Ovis aries: one gene and its partner. The protein of the gene in region 2 interacts with the protein of the main gene of each other region in a biochemical or structural test. Links are inferred from orthologs where the notes say so. Each region holds a gene or a part of one and is shown on either strand. Other genes may lie near its edges.

What was found.
Region 1: of the proteins of PRMT1 (region 2) and FUS, one has a biochemical effect on the other in vitro, tested with the Homo sapiens proteins (3 studies listed by BioGRID). The link is inferred for Ovis aries from reciprocal best matches to the Homo sapiens genes PRMT1 and FUS.

The regions. Positions count from the first base shown.
Region 1 is NC_056077.1:27,785,915-27,795,234, forward strand, and holds the end of FUS (RNA-binding protein FUS), read left to right. Parts: coding exon 1-91; intron 92-293; coding exon 294-501; intron 502-2,134; coding exon 2,135-2,169; intron 2,170-3,685; coding exon 3,686-3,718; intron 3,719-4,314; coding exon 4,315-4,418; intron 4,419-4,907; coding exon 4,908-5,037; intron 5,038-5,291; coding exon 5,292-5,393; intron 5,394-5,527; coding exon 5,528-5,651; intron 5,652-6,113; coding exon 6,114-6,214; intron 6,215-6,326; coding exon 6,327-6,474; intron 6,475-6,761; coding exon 6,762-6,801; 3' UTR 6,802-6,965; downstream 6,966-9,320. UniProt on the Homo sapiens protein: DNA/RNA-binding protein that plays a role in various cellular processes such as transcription regulation, RNA splicing, RNA transport, DNA repair and damage response. Binds to ssRNA containing the consensus sequence 5'-AGGUAA-3'.
Region 2 is NC_056067.1:55,806,833-55,816,593, reverse strand, and holds the start of PRMT1 (protein arginine N-methyltransferase 1), read right to left. Parts: upstream 5,121-9,761; 5' UTR 5,075-5,120; coding exon 5,039-5,074; exon of another isoform or gene 4,027-5,038; coding exon of another isoform or gene 4,012-4,026; intron 3,832-4,011; exon of another isoform or gene 3,701-3,831; intron 2,833-3,700; exon of another isoform or gene 2,831-2,832; coding exon 2,777-2,830; exon of another isoform or gene 2,773-2,776; intron 2,579-2,772; exon of another isoform or gene 2,466-2,578; coding exon of another isoform or gene 2,463-2,465; intron 2,240-2,462; coding exon 2,138-2,239; intron 1,372-2,137; coding exon 1,216-1,371; intron 1,072-1,215; coding exon 1,008-1,071; intron 1-1,007. Other genes in the region: BCL2L12 (bcl-2-like protein 12), read right to left, coding at 9,528-9,578. UniProt on the Homo sapiens protein: Arginine methyltransferase that methylates (mono and asymmetric dimethylation) the guanidino nitrogens of arginyl residues present in proteins such as ESR1, histone H2, H3 and H4, FMR1, ILF3, HNRNPA1, HNRNPD, NFATC2IP, SUPT5H, TAF15, EWS, HABP4, SERBP1, RBM15, FOXO1, CHTOP, MAP3K5/ASK1, MICU1 and NPRL2.

The DNA of each region.
Region 1 (9,320 bases), on a different chromosome or scaffold from region 2:
GGGCAGCAGCAGAGCTATAACCCGCCTCAGGGCTACGGGCAGCAGAACCAGTACAGCAGTGGTGGTGGCGGCGGCGGAGGGGGTGGCGGAGGTGAGAGGTTTCCTTCTGCTCTGTCTCATCCCTGCTTTTCGCAAGAAATTGTATTCTAGGCCGTTACCCTGAAAGGGTTCTTAAAAACCCCAGCTTTATCTGCATTTCTATTGAAGTTTATTCCCTGGCACTCTTGAACTGTTTCATGCCACCCCCCAGTCTGTTTTGTCCTTTTTAAAGGCAAGCTGTTCTTTCCTGACAGGTAGCTATGGCCAAGATCAGCCCTCCATGAGTGGTGGTGGCGGCGGCGGCGGTGGTTATGGCAACCAGGACCAGAGTGGTGGCTACGGGGGAGGCCAGCAGGACCGTGGGGGCCGTGGCCGGGGCGGTGGCGGTGGTTACAACCGCAGCAGTGGTGGCTATGAACCCAGAGGTCGTGGAGGTGGCCGTGGAGGCAGAGGCGGCATGGGGTAGGTGTCTTGTGAGCCAGGGAGTACCATCAGTGGGACGGGAGGAGGGTTGCATGAGTCTCCCTTGACGCCTAGTCCTGTAGTGCATGGTTAGTCTGATCTGGGAATTTGTAAGGGCTTTGAGTTGGGGTCTTGACTGTTTCTTTTTCGTACATCCATCCCCGTTTTATTTTTGTGAGAACTTGGGAGCCTGAACTTCTACCCACACTTCTGTACAGAGATTTGAGTACTGACAACTTTCATCTCTAAAGAAAAAGAAATGTAGGGGTGTATGTGGATTGGAGTCATTGATATCCTAGGCAAGAAACATGGAAGTAAAGGCTTCTTTCTCTGCAAGGGAAACCGATGATCCCACTCCTGGTGACAGGGAAACTTGTTACTTGTATTCCCATGTGTCCGCTAAAGGAGCTGTCAATGGTTAACCTGACTTGAGCTTCCAGGAATTGGCTACTTTCTCTTCCTGTATTCTCTAGTCACTTGAATCCACGAACTTGACTTGTACTAATCTGACGGACTGTAATGATTTTGTGTGTGACTTGGTTCATGGGGCTCTCTGAAGTGTGCAGACCTTTTGGACAAAGTACAGTACACTCGACAGTGGTCTCCCACCCACTTGCTCCACTGTCCCCCTTCCTCCGGTTACTTGTCCAGCTGGACCGTCTTTCCTCCCCTTCCTGCTGAAGCTGAAGTAAAACCTTAGATTTGATGTTAGAACATTTGTCAAGTCTGTTGGTAAATAACGATTGGAGGCACCCTTCTCTGTCTCTCTTGAGAAGGGGAGGAATGTCAGTGTGTTACTCCTTTTGGGGAAAAAGTAAGTTTTTAAAAAAGAGTTTGTGTATGGTAAGTATTCAGAGGGGGGGTGGGGGCAGTGCCATAAACCTTACAGAAATAAGGAAAACTCTTGTGTGCGTGTGTTTATAATGCAAAACTTTAAAAAAAGAAAAGCAACTGTTATGTGACTGTTAACTTGCTCTGCATTTTATGTGCCACAGGTATGAAAGGTGACATTGCAAAATACTCCGCTCTTCTCGCAGTGTAGAAGGGGTGACCCCGGGGGTGGGGAGAGATCAAAACCAGCTCAGTAGTTAGGGAAGGGCTTAGCTAAGTTTTGTCTCGCTTTAAGGGGAAATTGCCTTTGGTTTTGACTTTTTATGGAAAGGGGTTGGGTCTGCTTGCTGCTTTCAAAGCAAAAAAAAAAAAAAAATCACAAAAATGTGTTCAGGGCTACCCCAGCCTGGTGTGAAGTGTCTTCTGGGTAAACTGGGGGTAGGGTTTTTTAAACCAACTACTGGGTTGGCAACTGCTTGCGACAAGAGGAAAAACATCTGCTACGTCGGAAGAACGGCCAAGGAAAATGGGTCATTTTTTTTTTTTTCCTAGAGGAAATAGATATATAACCTTTTAAGCAAAATCCTTAACAATTGTGTCTGAGAAATTGCACACGTGTGTGTGACATGCTCACAGGTCAGACAAGGGTTGGTCAGGAAGGGGAATGTATTTTAGTAGCCACTTGCATTATCATTTTCCCAAAACACCTACCTATGTTTGGGGAATGTTGAACAAAACCAAAAACCGCCCTTTTGTAGCCGTTGGAAGCTTCATGTCCTTTCTTCTAACTTGTCTTCTCCAGCGGAAGTGACCGTGGTGGCTTCAATAAATTTGGTGGTAAGTGAACAGAGTTTCCAAAATTCCCAACTCCCAGCAATGCTTTGTCTGATTGTTCATTTGCAGTTGTCTTAGCGTGTTTTAAGTGTCAAAAGTTTTGGAGTGTCCATATCCACCTCCAGAAAGGGGTGGGGTGGAATGCCACCTGCTGCCAGATGTGTGCTAACCTGGAGGCAGGCAGGGAGTAAGACTCAGCAGTCGTCTGGTACCAAATTGGTTTGACCCAGGTTAATAAGCGGTGTTTAGGAGGCCTCTTGACGAGTGTCGCCACACCCGGCAGTTAGTGACCACCGTTGCGAGAAACTGGAGAGTGTGCTGGAGCATGTGGTGCCAACTTGGCTTTAGGATCGATCCTTTGATCAGTGTGTCCGAGGCTTGTGTGTGTGTGTGTGTGTGTGTGTGTGTGACAACCTCCAAACATTTTAATTCTGGACGAGGGATGAAGTATTGCCCTGCCCTGAGGATGGTGACGTTGGTATATATTTATGTATTAAATACTGAATGGTGTCAATGCAATCCTACATACACGTATTTAAACTCAACTCAGATGGGCTAAATAGCAACTAGCTCTGGGCAGGAAGGTGTGAACTGCTTCCAAGAAAGGTTGGGAGCATGTGTGGCTCATGGGAAATAATCAGGTCTTAATAACAGCACAAACTGAATTCATGGAAAAATGGCAAATTGGAGAAGTCTCCCAGTAAGCTGGAACTTTTCTGGTCTGGTTAACTAACAAAGGGTTTCTTGATTTGTCTCAACATGTAAAGCCAAAGGCTTGGGTTCATGATTTAGGTGTGTCATTGAGTGTGGGTACAACATTTATATATGGTGAATTCAGATAAACTTTGGGCGAAGATGGTCTCTGGAAAAAAAAAAATAGAGGCTGCATTATGGAAATAAGATTTCTGGTCTGTTCCCTGGGACATGCTTAAAACATACAATAGCTATTTTGTATGGTTTTTATTTTCATGTGGTTTTTGGGGAAACAACATGGTTTTAAGACTGGTTTCGAAAGATGACATTAAAAATTGTTCTACAAGGGATAAGTGTCTTTGGTGCTAAAGTTTGGAGAAACTGTATGAATGCATATCACATTGCTGGTGGTGAGCCCATTTCTCTCTGGGGCGAGAGAAGAGGGCCAAGCTATGAGTTGGTTTGTTAACTTCAATGGGTCTCCCTCCTGGCCCTCCCAGTCTGTGCTGAGGACATTTCCCAGCCTGAGCTGGGGGAGGCAGCATTTTCTGAAGTGTGGAGTTGTCCCTGTGGGGACTCAAGTTACATGCAGACCTTAAGAAAAGGGGCCTGTGTCTTTCCCAGACCTGCCTAGGGTTTTCTCTGGGCAGGCGACCCAGAACAGGGTTTGGAGTGAGGCTGGCTGTGAGCACTTACCTGATATTTTGCAAAAGTTTGGATTTGGTGTTAATTATTTTGCTTGTCTTTCTCAGCCTCTTAACTAACGGCTCCTCTTTCCTTGTTTTTTTGTTTTTTTGTTTTTGTTTTTTCTTCTATGTCATTTAAGGCCCTCGGGACCAAGGATCACGTCATGACTCTGGTAAGTCCGCAGGTGGCAGGAAAGAAAGGCAAAAGTGGTAGCAGGACTTTCCTTGGATGTTGTTCAAACTTAAGGGAATCTGAAGAAGAGCGGGGCTAGAGAAGAGCGGGGAAGAGCGTTTAGTTAGGAGTAGCTGTGTTGAATAGTGTATTTAACAAGAAAGACACAGGGACGCACTTAGTGTATGTGTTGTTTTGATGATGTTTGTATAGGGCTTCCCTGGTGGGAATGCTGCGTTTTAGTGTAAAATTAGTTTCTTTGGGGGTCTTCAACTGAAAGTTGACAAACACTGGTGTGGTCTTGGGCAGTTAAATCCTGAGCCCTGGATTCTTTTACGAATTTCAACATATTTTAAGGGGTAGTTGTAAACCTAAATTTTAATTGGTGAAGCGGCTAGCATACAGGCACTCATAATGAAGTAGAGTTGGAGATTTGTCGGACCTACAGCACCAGTGCTTTATATTAATTGGTTTAGAAATTTTCTTTCTTGGAAAGCTAACTATCAAGTATCAAAGTTCAGGTTACTAAGTGTCACTGACTTATTTTATCTCTGGTTGTTTTCTGTCTCCATGTTTCCTGCTGTGTTGGGCAAGCAGAACAGGATAATTCAGACAACAACACCATCTTCGTGCAAGGGCTGGGCGAGAATGTTACAATTGAGTCTGTAGCTGATTACTTCAAGCAGATTGGTATCATTAAGGTACTTATGGGAACTTCTCTGGCAGGCCAGTGGCTAGGACTCCTCGCATCTACTGCAAGGGCACGGGTTTGATTCCTCATTGGGGAACTAAGATCCCCCCGGCCCCAATAAAGAGTGGCTATGTCCCCCCCAGCCCCGAAAGGTACTTCTGGGGCAGAGTGGATACATTCTATTAGTGCTGCAGGCTTTGGGATTTCATACCTTAGTGAAAATAGAAATCTTAATGGTTGCCTGCTTCATTTGTTGAGGAAAAAGCATTAACTGTTGCCATTCCAAAGGGAATCATTTTAACACAAAAAGGTACAATTGATTAAAAAGATGATTAAAACTTTTGAATTGTAGTCTATAATCTTTGTCATTTAATATTGAAGGGAGAAGCAGTTAACAGTCGATGGCTTTCTTTCAAGTTATGTATGAAATAGGAAGGTATGGTTTTGATAGTGCTGTATTCTCTGATAGACTGATGTGATCTCATGTTGCTTTCTTCAGACAAATAAGAAAACAGGACAGCCCATGATTAATCTGTACACAGACAGGGAAACAGGCAAGCTGAAGGGAGAGGCCACCGTATCATTTGATGATCCACCTTCCGCCAAAGCAGCTATTGACTGGTTTGATGGTATGTCTGAGGAGGCTGGGGGAGAGGGCAGCTAGCTTGGGGAAACAGGCTGCATTTTGAGGGTTTCTTTGAGTCTTCCAAGACTTAACAGCACTACCCTGTTGGTGTAGTCTTATATTTGGTTATGTTTCGTGAGATTGTAAACATTTGTAAGAAGGCAGAGTCTTCTCTTGATTGTACCAGGTATACTTTGGGACCCACAGGTCATAGGTCTTAATTAGAAGTCTCTTTTATACCTCCTTTATTTCTTATAGGTAAAGAATTCTCTGGGAATCCTATCAAGGTCTCATTTGCTACTCGGCGAGCAGACTTCAATCGGGGTGGTGGCAATGGTCGTGGAGGCCGAGGGCGAGGAGGTAAGGAGCTCTTTGTGTTGCTGTAAAGAAGTGATGGGGAGAGAAGAGGGAAGGAGGATGGTAAGGGCTTGTGTGGGAAAGACAGGTTAACCACACTTGGAAGGTGAGCAGACCTGTTCTTCGCTCTGTTCTAGGACCTATGGGCCGTGGAGGCTATGGAGGTGGTGGCAGCGGCGGCGGTGGCCGAGGAGGATTCCCCAGTGGCGGTGGCGGTGGCGGAGGACAGCAGCGAGCAGGGGACTGGAAGTGTCCTAATCCGTGAGTGAAACTGCTTAATTTTTTTCTCAGCCCTCTTGTACATGTGCCCTTTGATGTTAAGTTATGTGCCAAGTTGTTGCTTCAGTCCTGTCTGACTCTGCAACCCCAAGGACTGTGGATTGCCATTCCCTTCCCCAGGGGGTTTTCCCAACCTGGGGATCAAACCCAAGCCTCTTATGTCTCCTGTGTTGGCAGGCAGGTTCTTTACCCACTAGCACCACCTTGACCTTAGGACAGAGCTTGTAGTTCTGCTAATGTCAGGGATAGGCGTGGTTGGGAATCATCTAGACTGGGCTCAGTAACCTGCAGTCTTTGTCTCTGCTCCTGAGAAACGGGCCTCTTTGCTTTTCCGAGGCCTCATTTTCCTCACGTATCCCTGGGGTCACTGGAATTTTCATAATTCTAGGTCTTGGCCATTTCCACCCCCCTCCTACACACATTAATTGTCTTATTTTTCCTTAGTACCTGTGAAAACATGAACTTCTCTTGGAGGAATGAATGTAACCAGTGTAAGGCCCCTAAACCAGATGGCCCAGGAGGGGGACCAGGAGGCTCTCATATGGGTAAGGAAGAGGCAGAGCTGGTGTTGGGATCTGCAAGGAGGCTAGACAGGGGGAGGGAGGAGGGGTCTGGGGGATGTGATAGAGGGTTGAATCATGTTTCTTTATTTCCTAGGGGGTAACTACGGAGATGATCGTCGTGGTGGCAGAGGAGGCTATGATCGGGGTGGCTACCGAGGCCGAGGAGGGGACCGTGGGGGCTTCCGAGGGGGCCGGGGTGGTGGGGACAGAGGTGGTTTCGGCCCTGGCAAGATGGACTCCAGGTAAGTAAGACTAAATTGAAAGGGAACTAGAGCAGTTGACCAGAGGTCATGGGATTGCAGGGTTTGGGGAGCGTGGTTTCATTTTGAGGGCGGGGTTGGGAAGCTGAGACTTGGGTAGGAGACAAGGGAAGGAGACTTACCTGGGGGAGCTAGTCTGGATGCCCATGTGCACTCCGTGCCCAGGGAGACGAGCTGTCTCTCGGGGTGGGTAGCAGGGCAGGTTGGGTTTTGGGGGTGGATGGGTAGAGAGGTTGGAACCCAGACCTCATGGATGCTCTTTCTTGCAGGGGTGAGCACAGACAGGATCGCAGGGAGAGGCCGTACTAGCCTGGCTCCCGAGGCCTTGGAGCAGCTTTCTTCCTGTACCCAGTGTTACTGCCCTCATTATTTTGTAACCTTCCACCTCCTGATCACCCACGGGTTTTTTGTGTCGGACTATGTAACTGTAACCATACCTCTGGTTCCCATTAAAAACCATCATTTTAGTTAAATTTTCTTCCTTTACCCCCTCTTCACTCTCCTGGAGCGTGGATGTCCAGGTCAAGAACGTGGGGAGTTTTTCCTCTATTCAGATCAACCAACCTGCCTTGTGGGAACTGGAATAAATTTATTTGTTCCCGCTCAGCAGGAACTGGAATAAAGTGTTTGATACTTGGTTCAGGGGAGCAAAGGTCAAGTGTATCCTTGAAAGTAGAGATTAAACTTCTCTATTCACAGTCAAAATCAGATGAATGAAAGGGGTAAATGAAAAACATCGTGTGTTGCCCCCCATTTTTGTCCAGCCATGTGGAAATTTTTCTTCTGTGTTGATTGATGTGCTGATTTTTGTGGGCTTATTTTTAGCAGTTTTGTTCCTTTTAAGGAGTTCTGGCACTTTTCTAAGGGTGGGGCTCAAACAAACTTTGAGGGTGATACTCAAGTTTGATTGACCCTGATTAGATCATGTAGTTAACCAGTTGGTTTTTTTTTCCCAGGAAGGGGAGAAACAAACTGAGCACCTGCCTAGTGGCAGATAGGCTGTTCACAAGTTTTTGCAGATGGAAAACGAAGTGCCTGGGTTCTGTAGCTCTCACAGTCAGGAAATGGTTTGACGCCAGGATGCAGTCCTTGTCATCTTCCAACTTGATTTTCATTTCTTGGCGTTTCTTTCTGAAACAAATTCCTACCCCACTTATTTGCTTCAGTTCAGTTCAGTCGCTCAGTCGTGTCCGACTCTACGATCCCATGAATTGCAGCACGCCAGGCCTCCCTGTCCATCACCAACTCCCGGAGTTCACTCAGACTCATGTCCACTGAGTCAGTGATGCCTTCCAGCCATCTCATCCTCTGTCGTCCCCTTCTCCTGCCTCCAATCCCTCCCAGCATCAGTCTTTTTTCCAATGAGTCAACTCTTTAAATGAGGTGGTCAAAGTACTGGAGTTTCAGCTTTAGCATCATTCCTTCCAAAGAAATCCCAGGGCTGATCTCTTTCAGAATGGACTGGTTGGATCTCCTTGCAGTCCAAGGGACTCTCAAGAGTCTTCTCCAACACCACAGTTGAAAAGCATCAATTCTTTAGCGCTCAGCCTTATTCACAGTTCAACTCTCACATCCATACATTGCTCCATACATGACTATCTCAAATCCATACATGATCATTTTCTGAATGTTGAGCTTTAGGCCAACTTTTTCACTCCTGTTTCATCAAGAGGCTTTTTACTTCCTCTTCACTTTCTGCCATAAGGGTGGTGTCATCTGCATATCTGAGATTATTGATATTTCCCCTGGCAATCTTGATTCCAGCTTGTGTTTCTTCCAGTCCAGCGTTTCTCCTGATGTGCTCTGCATAGAAGTTAAATAAGCAGGGTGACAATATACAGCCTCGACGTACTCCTTTTCCTATTTGGAACCAGTCTGTTCCATGTCTAATTCTAACTGTTGCTTCCTGACCTGCATACAGATTTCTCAAGAGGCAGGTCAGGTGGTCTGGTATTCCCATCATAGAATTTTCCACAATTTATTGTGATCCACACAGACAAAGGCTTTGGCATAGTCAATAAAGCAGAAATAGATGTTTTTTTGGAACTCATGCCTTTCCATGATCCAGCAGATGTTGGCAATTTGATTTCTGGTTCCTCTGCCTTTTCTAAAACCAGCTTGAACATCTGGAAGTTCACGGTTCACGGCTTCATTGCTGAAGCCTGGCTTGGAGAATTTTGAGCATTACTTTACTAGCATGTGAGATGAGTGCAATTGTGCGGTAGTTTGAGCATTCTTTGGCATTGCCTTTCTTTGGGATTGGAATGAAAACTGACCTTTTCCTGTCCTGTGGCCACTGCTGAACTTTCCAAATTTGCTGGCATATCTTTCAGGATTTGAAATAGCTCAACTGGAATTCTATCACCTCCACTAGCTTTGTTCGTAGTGATGCCCACTTAACTTCACATTCCAGGATGTCTGGCTCTAGATGAGTGATCACACCATCATGATTATCCGGGGCGTGAAGGTCTTTTTTGTACAATTCTGTGTATCCTTGCCACCTCTTAATATCTTCTGCTTCTGTTAGGTCCATACCATTTCTGTCCTTTATTGAGCCCATCTTTGCATGAAATGTTCCCTTGGTATCTTTGATTTTCTTGAAGAGATCTCTAGTCTTTCCCATTCTGTTTTTTTCCTCTATTTCTTTGCATTGATCGCTGAAGAAAGCTTTCTTATCTCTTCTTGCTATTCATTGGAACTCTGCCTTCAGATGCTTATATCTTTCCTTTTCTCCTTTGCTTTTCGCCTCTCTTCTTTTCACAGCTATTTGTAAGGCCTTCCCAGACAGCCATTTTGCTTTTTTGCATTTCTTTTCCATGGGAATGGCC
Region 2 (9,761 bases):
AACCACTGGGCTGCCGGGAAATTCCCGTGGTCATGCTTTTTTAAATATTTTTTAAAATCTATTAGATACACACATGGCAGGATTTATAGTCGGAATTTGCTTCAAAAGGAGGTATTTAAAGCTCAGTGATGGGAACTTAGGAATTCATTACACTAATTTCTTTTTCAAAAAAAACCCCTTCAGCTTCTAGAATGCCAAGGGCCCTCATATCAAAAAACCCACATGTTCCCATGTCCTCTGCCCCTCAAACCTTGCAGGTGGGAAGGGCAATGTGGCACCTTCTGCCCAACTTTCTTCCACTTTTGATCCATGCAACCCTACTTTTACAAACTGACCTCACAGATAACATTAGTTCATATATGATTGATGATGACATTACAGGTGGGGGATGAAAGTCTTGGAAGCTCAAATGCCCATGACCAGGAACTTGGTTAACAGACCTGGTGTATGTGAAAATAGAGGATGGCAGTCATCAAAAAGCAAGATCCTCTCAACATCCTATCAGGTGTTAAACTACATAATACACAGGTGAAAATCACAAAGGGCATGTATGAAACATTATCTGTGTCAAAAACCAGCATGTGAATGCAGAAACATACACACACGTTTGTTCATCGGTATGAACCTCTCTGGGAGAGAGAGCTGTCTGCACTTAGAGAAGAGTGGCTGAGAGGCGGGTGGCAGACTTCTTACTATGGGCCTCATGTGCCAACCACGTGACTCTATCACTCACTGAAAAAACTCAAGATTGCTTCTTGAAATTTTTGTTTTTTTAAATAAAAGACTGAAGCACTAAGCTTGTGACTTCGACATGCAGATTCTAAGACGGCTTGTCAGGAGGTAGGTTCTGAGAAGGCTGGATTTTTGGGCTGTCCGCAGCCCAGAGCCCACCGGGGGAGGAACGCCTGAATTTGACTTCTATGGCCTCCATTCCCTTGCCAGGGGCCCCGGGGAAGCTGGGATCCCCCGCTCCCTCCCCAAAGACCCCGTTCTCTTCCTGGGCTCACCATGGTCTAACTTGTTGGCTTTGACGATCTTCACCGCATAATCAGAGATACTGGAACACTCGATCTGGGGGCCCAGGAAGAAGGGAGGGTGAGACCCCCCCCCAAATGCCACCCTCCACCCCCACTCCCCTCCACCCAATCCCTGAGCCCCAAGGGGCCCCCTTTCCGTCCCTAGGCCCAGGCCTGGCCGGCCGCCGAGGACACTCACCCCGATGACCTTGCGGGCCCCAGCCTTGGCGGCAAACATGCAGAGGATCCCTGTGCCCGAGCCCACGTCCAGCACCACCTTGTCTTTGAAAAGGTGCCGGTTGTGAAACATGGAGTTGCGGTATGTGAGGGTGCGGACCTCATCTTTCAGCATTTCCTGGCAGGGGTGGGAACAAAGAGATCATGAGGGGACTGGCGTCCCCTGCTGAAAACCAGGGTGTCCTGGCCTCCAACACACTGATCAACTTGAAGACTGGCACTCAGTCCTCAAACCTGCTTTAGTCCCCTTAGGACAAGTTATTTCCCTTCCACACGCCTCAGTTTCCCTACGTGAAATTGGACTGGATGGACCAAAATCCCATCTTAGGCATTTTCTACCCTTGCCGACTAACCCCCTGTAAAGCCTTGCCTTTAAAAAGTCCTCAGTAAGCCAAAGCCATTAAACCGCCCACGTGAAAATGGTAAATTTTGTTATGCATATTTTATAACAATATTTTAAAAAAGGAAAGAGAAAAATCTTCCCACCCCATCCCTGCTGCTTTCTGGGACCTCAGCCTCCACCACACGCAAAAGGGGTGGAGAAGACTTTCGAGCCGCTGCCGGTCACTAGAGGGCGGCAAAGACCGGTAGGCCCTGACCTCGGGCTGACGTCTCAGATGCACATGCGTCTCAGATGCACATGCGATGCACATGCGCGCTCCCACCGCGGCCTCCCAGGAGAGGACTGGTAGAGCGCCAGGCTAACCCCGTCTCCCAGGCAACGGCTGCGCGAGGCGACCCGGAGTGTGAGCTCTGCCTGCGCAGAGGGGGTGGCCCGCTGCCAGGGAAGGCAGTGCGCATGCGTCAGAGATGAATCTCCAGCTCTCCCCAACATGACCCCCTGGAAGATTCGGCACCCTCAGGAGCTGTCTGTCCATACTCACCTCGTGGATGCCGAAGTGAGCATAGGAGTCAAAGTAGTAATCTTTGGACGTCATGTCCTCAGCGTTGGGCTTCTCGCTGCTTTCTGCCTGGCCACAGGAGACCTGGGAGGGGGTGAATGGGAGCAAACGGGGTCACATCTGGGGGCTCCCCAGAGATTCGGAAGCCTCCAGGCAGGTCTACGCCCCCATGGAGTATACAGAACCACTCCCCAAACCGTACCATGGCAACCCTACAGCCCCCACCTGCCGTCTTGCCTCGCCCAGGAACCCCCCACCCCCAGAGCACCATCCAGGAGGGCACCCCCGATACCTCAGCCAGGCCTACCATCTCTCCAGTCTGTCTGCCCCCGTCTCTAGCTCAGCCCACAGCTGGGGAAGGGAGGGGAGAGGAAGGCGGAAGCGGGGCAGACACAGGGAAGGACAAAGGTGGGGTGGGGGGCTGTAAATGGAGTTAAGGAAGTAGCCACAGTATTGGGAGAGGCCAGGTGGGGGCCCAAACCTGGACGGAGTCTGGACTAAGTGTTTCGGGGGCCAAGGGTAAAGTGGTTTGAAGCCAGAGGGATCAGTTAGACCACTAAAAAGGGCGTGACGTGTGAGGAAATGTGTATGTGGGAAGGGGTCTCACAAAAGGATATTTACTTCTTCAAGAGGCGGCTGGAGGCTCATCCCATTAGCCAAGGTGGCTACAAAATTCTAGGAGAGAGTAACAGGGAGAAAGGATTAGCTACCAGGAGCGGCTAGGGGAGGGCCAGGCCAGGCGACCCGGGCTCTTGGGCAAGAAGGAGGTGTTTCCTACAATTTTGCTTTTCCTTTGTGAGCAGTGGTGGGAGAAGGAACAAGTAAAGAGGCAAGGCTGTTTTCAACAGGGGTGGGGGAGATGTGGGGGAGCAGGGAGGGGGTTCTATCCCAGCTGTGGCTGGAGAGATGGTGGCCTGCCCCCACACTGCCCCTGTTGGGCCAGGCACCTGAGCACACACGCCTCCCCCATCCAGGCCAGAGGAACTGGCACCCGCCGGGCACAAGGGCACTGCCAGCTGTCACTCCCCCTCACCATCTAATCTCCCCAGATTAGATGACACTTCCTGACACAAAGCCTCATCCTGGGGTACCATTCGAGCTGGGGGAAGGGAACTGGCAGGGTGTACCCACTGGGCATCTGTCACCTCTGCAAAGCACTCTCTCATCTGAGAGGATTCCAGAAAGGAGGTGTGGCACACGGGCACCCCCCACCAGAGCTGGCATGCGGGCTGCTAGCTCCTGCCTGGGACTCAGGGAGTCCCAAACAAAACAAGGGAGTGCCAATCTCCTGATTATGACCCTCTGCGCAGGAGGGCAGAGTTCCACGGAGGAGGCCAGACCCTGGACCCCCAAGCCCATCTACTCCCCGTTCGAACCACCATCTCAGGCCCAGAAACTCCCCAGGGGAGGGGCCGAGTCCTGGATCCACCTCTGAGGAAGATATTTCCTCCAGCCAAGAAGGCCTTCGTCTAGCAGAGAGCCAAGGGGGAGTCACTGGAGTGACCCCTGGGGCTGCCCCCCAAGGTATGCATCTTGGAACCTCACCTCCCATTCCTGAGACTGCTACAAGCTAAGAGGTGAGAGTACGGAGGGCCCAACAGATTACAGCTCTTCCAGATGCAAGCACTCTCCAGGCGCCAAGAAGCGTGAAATCACAGACATAACCCCTGGGCTCCAAGCCCCACCTCCATCCTCCCCAAACCAGTGAATGACGCGGATACGGAAAGACGGCGGGTGAGGGGACTTCCCCTGAGGGCCCATTTCTCTACACCACCGACATCACCGCCAGACATGCCCCCAGAGCGCTTGAGACACAGCATCATGGCAAGCCCCACATAACTGCAAGAGAATCACACCTCACGGGACACCATTTCACGCAAGCAGGTTCAGGACCCTCAAACACGGGTTCAGGGAGGAGGTGGTCAACTCCCATCTTCACAAATACCCCAGGGAGAGGAAGGGCCAGAAGGAGGTAAATCCGCTGCCTCCACTACCTCACAGCCCTTCCCAGGACAGATTCTCTCTCCCCTCGCCCGGGAGGGCTTCGACAGGGAGGGGGGCTTGGAGACACGCCCCATGAAAAAGATGTCCCTCCCACACACCCAGAAATGGCCACAAGGGGGTGCACAGCGCCTAATCGGGAAAGATCTTCCGCTCGATGCCCCCCCATAGACCAGAGGGAGGTCACAGGGGCATGCCCCATCCCCCCAGCTCCCAAAGAGGGGGAGAATCCAGAGACAGGAAACTGGAGGGTAGGAGGGGTCCCAGAGGGAACCAATTCTTCGTCTTCCTCCAATCCCAACGCAAGAGCGCACGAAACCTGGACCGATGCCTAAGCAGATGCCCTGGTCCCAGGAAAGGGTTTGTTAAGGGTCGAGGCACACTGCCCCTCCCAAGAGCCTCATTACTGCACGGAGGTCCCCACCCCGAGGTGCCCGTCACGATCCCCGGGGAGGAGGGTAGGGGGCCTCGGAGGGAGGGTCGGAGCCTCCTCTCCGCCCCCCCCCGGGGCGCCCCTCCCCTGGCCGGGGGCGGGGCCTTTGTCCCGCACGTGGAACCCGCCGGGCAAGCGGGCACGGCACACCCCCTCCCCACCCACCGTGCCACGGCCACGTGGGGGCCAGGCCGGAAGCGCCCCCAGCCCTCCTCCACGTGGGAGGGGGCAGTAGGCCCTCGGCTCGGCGTGGCGCCTCAGGCCCCCGAAAGCTAGGGAACCCGCAGTTCAAACGGTATCCTCGGATACGGAGCACGCGGCGCCCCCCTCCGTACGGCCAGGGGCCTTCAACCCCAATCCGGCGACTCAGAGCCCCTTCCCCACGGCGGAGGCGTAAAACACCGACTTCCAAACCGCCCCCCGCCCCCGGTGGCGCTCCTGGCGCTCACCTCCATGATGCAGTTCGCGGCTTCGGCTGCCGCCATCTTCACCCGCGTCTACTCCTCCTCCGGCCGCCGAGACCCCCCCCCTTTCTCCGCACTCCCCCGGGACCGCCTTATACCGGAGGGTCTACGGCCCGCCCACCGCGACCCCGCCAGGAGATCTCATTGGTAGAGGAGGTGACCCGTCTGGAAATACCATTTAGCCATTGGGCGAAGGAGACACCCATCAAAGCTGAGGTGCCCGCCTACTCTGGCGTGCCGAACCCCGCCCCCTTAAGTCGACGGGGATGGGAAAGACTGCCCGTCTATCGCAAGAAGCGCGACTGACGATTGGGCAGAATCTACTGGGAGTTCCCGCCCCTTCTCCCGTACCGCCTCAAAGCTTCCCGGCGGACCCTGCGCTAAGCGGACATCTTGAAATAGAACTATCACCAAAAGTACCCGCCTCTTAATAGCTGCTATTGGTTTATTAGCAATGTGACGTCATGAGGCTTTCGGCCTGCCTCCGCCAAGCTGCTGGCCTCAAGGAGAACGTGACGATTGGCCCACGAAAAAGGAAAGCAGGCTTTAGGCTCCAGAGATTGGCTCAAACAAACTGTCACTCACCGTTCACTCTGTGGCTTCTCCCAGCTTGTAGGGAATCCAACGGGAAATAAGGGAGCTTGTGCCCATTTTCCTGATGGAAAACTGAAGCAGTGAGAGGCTCAAAGAGGTCTTATCCGTGATCCTGAATCAAGTCAGAAATGGGACTCAGGCGTCGAGGTGTTTAATCTTTAGCCCTCTACTTAATTGTTACAAGTTTTTAAAACCCAGTGACCCCACTCAAGCACTTGGCCTTTGCCAAGTCCTACCCATGCTGGAACACCCACCCCCTTCGTCTGGCCTTCATGAGTCAGTCCCGGCATAACTCAGTCGCCACCTCCTCCAGGTAGCTTCCCTCGACCTGTAGAAAAAGTTACTTGTTGAATGAAGGTAACTGCTACTTGGGGAATGTATCCCATCACCCTAGAAAGTTCCTTCACGACCCTTTCAACACCGCCCTCCCACCCAACCCCAGAAGCAATCACTGTTTCGTTACTATAGTGTATCTTTTCAGCTGCTAAATTTTCCAATAAAAGTATGTGCTCTTTTGTGCCTGTCTTGTTTTTCTCAGCATAATGTTTTCAAGATTCGTTCATGTCTCATATAACGATTGTCCAGCCCTTTTTATTGCTGAGGAGTATTCCATTGTATTGCTGGATCACATTTTCCTCTTGGTGGACATGTGGGTGGTTTCCAGATTAGGGCTGTTATGAATAAAGAGGCCATAAACCATCGTGTCCCAACCTTTCTGTAGATGTACACTTTCAGTTCTCTTGGGTCAAGCTAGGAGGACATGCTTGCGCGTCCTATGCTAGGTGTATGTTTAACTTGATAAGAAACTGCCCCAAAGTTTCCTATGGTATTCTACCAATTTGCATTTCCATCAGTGATGCGTGAGAGTTCTAGGTGCTCCACATCCCCTCCAGCACTTAATAAAATCAGTCTATAATTTTAACGACTCTCCTGTGTAGGAAGAGATTATCTCCTGGTTGTGACTTGCATTATTGCCCTGACCGCCAATGTTGTTCAGCACCTTTTCGTGTTTTCGTGTGCTTATCGGCAATTTGCATGTTTTCTTTCTTTAAAATAAAAATTTTTTTTTTTTTTTAAATTTGGCTGCTTCGGGTTTTAGTTATTGTGCACAGGTTCCAGAGCATGTGGGCTCAGTAGTTGCTGCAAGATTCCCAACCAGGGATGGAACTCACACCTCCTGCAGTGGAAGGCGGGTCCTTAACCACTCCACCACCTGGGAAGTTCCCCTATTTGTATATTTTCTTTTGTCAAGTGTCTGCTCAATTCTTTTGTGTATTTTTGCAAACAGAGTTGTTTTCTTATTCACCAATTGTAAACGTTCTTTATAGCGTCTAGATACAGGTCTCTTTTAGGTATACTGACTTTACATTTTTCTCCCAATCTGTGACCTGTCTTTTCCTTTTCTTAATGTTGTCTGTTGAAAAGCAGAGACTTTATCTGAACCCACATCTTGACCCTTACATTGTATGTTGTGTGGAATTTTTTTTTTCTTTTCTATTTCTCCAAATGTTTCAGCAGGGTTTTTGTGTCTTATCTTTTTTTTCCTTCTGAATTCCAATTAACCCAATCAATTACTTTTGCTCTTGTGTTGCTATAAAGAAGGAAAAATTATAACACATTCTCTCTACAACATTAGGGAATAAACTAATGTCACTGGGTATAGAGTACAGGGGCTTTCCTGGTGGCTCAGATGGTAAAGGGTCTCCTTGTAATGCAGGAGACCCAGGGTTTGATCCCTGGATAGGGAAGATCCCCTAGAGAAGGGAATGGCAACCCACTCCAGTATTCTTGTCTGGGGAATTCCATAACAGAGGAGCCTGGCAGGGTACAGTCCATAGGGTCGCAAAGAGTCGGATACGACTGAGCAAATTCCACACCACAGAGAGTACAGGGGGGTGGTCTGGGCTGGAAGCAAAACTGGGGGAGCCATCAAGTGTCAGATTCTTCATTCTCCAAGATGGCAGCCACATGGGACTACTGAGTAATGGCCCATGACAAGTGTCAGCTGAGATATGCTATGGCTGTAAAAATGCACACCAGATTCTGAAGACTTTATGTAAAAAAAGAATCTGTAATACTTCATTTGCATTTTTAATATTGATTACATGCTGAAATGATTCTATTTTGGATAAATGTGGTAAATAAAAATTATGGTTAAAATTAATTTAACTTTTTTACTTCGCTTTCATGGGGCTACTGTTATATTCTAAATAACACATATGGCTCATGTTATATTTCTATTGGCCAGTGCTGCATTAGGTCGCAGACCACGAAATGGACAAGATCACGGGGGAGTTCATGTGATTAGAAAGGTGGTTACCAGACCTGAGTCAAAATGAAGAGTCGGGTGTCTCTATGAGGCCGCAATGACTCTGCTAAAACAAGCGCTAGCAAGAGGCCCCCAGCCTCAGGTGAGACAAGCTGAGACCTTGATAGCAGCATAGCCACACCAAGAGCCAAGCGCCCGGCGAAGCTGCGCCCATGCCCCTGACACACAGAAACTGCAATTAATAAATGCGTTCTCGTGAGCTGCTAAACGCATATGATCTGATCCATCTCCAAATGTCATTCCTGCTCTACTTAGAAATCATGGTTATGAGACCCACCCTAGGTGTTTTTAATTAATGAGGAGGCATGTCTATTATTATACCACTAATTTTTATATTAATCTTGAAAGCTTTATTTCCACACTGGATCCTTATTTGCGCTAGTTACACCCCACAAAGTCATCACAAACACAGAATTGGTGAACACCCTGTTCCACCCTGATCCCAGGGGAGATACCGGGTCAGGTTGCCACAGGTGTCTTGTCACAACACTTTCATCAACCCATCAAAATATAATCAGGTTTTCTGTGTATTTTCTGTTTGTAGACACATTATTTAATGTATAGTGGGCCTATTCGCATTGGTCTTGCAGCCTACAGTAACAAAAATGATCTACAACAGACTGCATTGAATTGTGGTTCATGGCAGCCTTCCTTCACTTAGGAATGCTCGCTAGGACCTTCCGGCTATGCTTTGGGGCTCTTTGGGACAGTGGAATCACCACAAATAGCACAGAAACGTGAAAAATGTGGCACTGAATATAGAATGTGGAAAGGATGTTTGTACACAGTGTGAGAACTGCAACAGGAAGGCAGCCTTGCCTCGCCCGACCTGAGCTGAAAGGTGCCCACTGGGTCGGTCCGACTGTTTACTGCTCTGAGCACGTGCACGCCTACCAGTGAGTGCAAAGGCACGTGAGTACTCGTTTGGGGACTACAGATAAATGTTTAAGAGTAGGTGAATTTGAAAATACGGAATCTGTGAATACGGAGGCTTGACTGTACTTGGCTTCCTTTGTAATCCTGTACTTTTCATTTTAAGCGTTTACAAACATAATTCAGTGAAGGGGGTGATAGCCCTAAGAAGGTGACAACCTCTGGTAGACAGGTAAATGAGGAGAAACCAGCAAAAAAGGCTCAGAAGGAGCGGAGTGAAGAGAAAAATGAGAAGCGGATGGCGTTCTGGATGCCCTGTGAAGGAAGAGCACAGCTTTGTTCTGGAGATAGCTGTTCAGGTGACAGGAGTTTGTAGGTGTCCGAAATGAATATATCCAGAAGGAATGAATTGGTTCTTTCCCCAATTTATAAACTAGAGAGGTCCCTGAAGCAAATCTCCTCTACTTAGTCCTTTAGTTTTTGAGAGAAAGAACACATAAGACTTGAAAAAGTTTTTAATGTGAAAACATTTTAAACAGGTTTTTTGGTGGTTTTTTTTTTTTTTGGCAAAAAAATAGAGGGCAGGCACCACCCCACAGCCCTGAGTGGAATAGGAAGGCTTAGAAAGAGGGTGCAGGGACATGAGGTCTGATCTTACAGCAACTTCTGAGGGAGAGCTCAGTCCAAGGGTAAGTTCAAGTCCACAGGTGAAACTGCCAAGATGCCCTCCTGGAAGGGAAAAGTGGTGGATCCCTGTGAGCGGAGAGGCGTCCTCTACTCACAGCGGTGTCCACACTGGCCCAGTGAGAGCAGAGATCGGGAAGGCAAGGAACCAGAGAGGGGAAGGGGACAGAGACCCAGAGAGAGGCAGACCGGGATGAGAGGTGAGGGATGGAGACCCCAAGAAAGGAT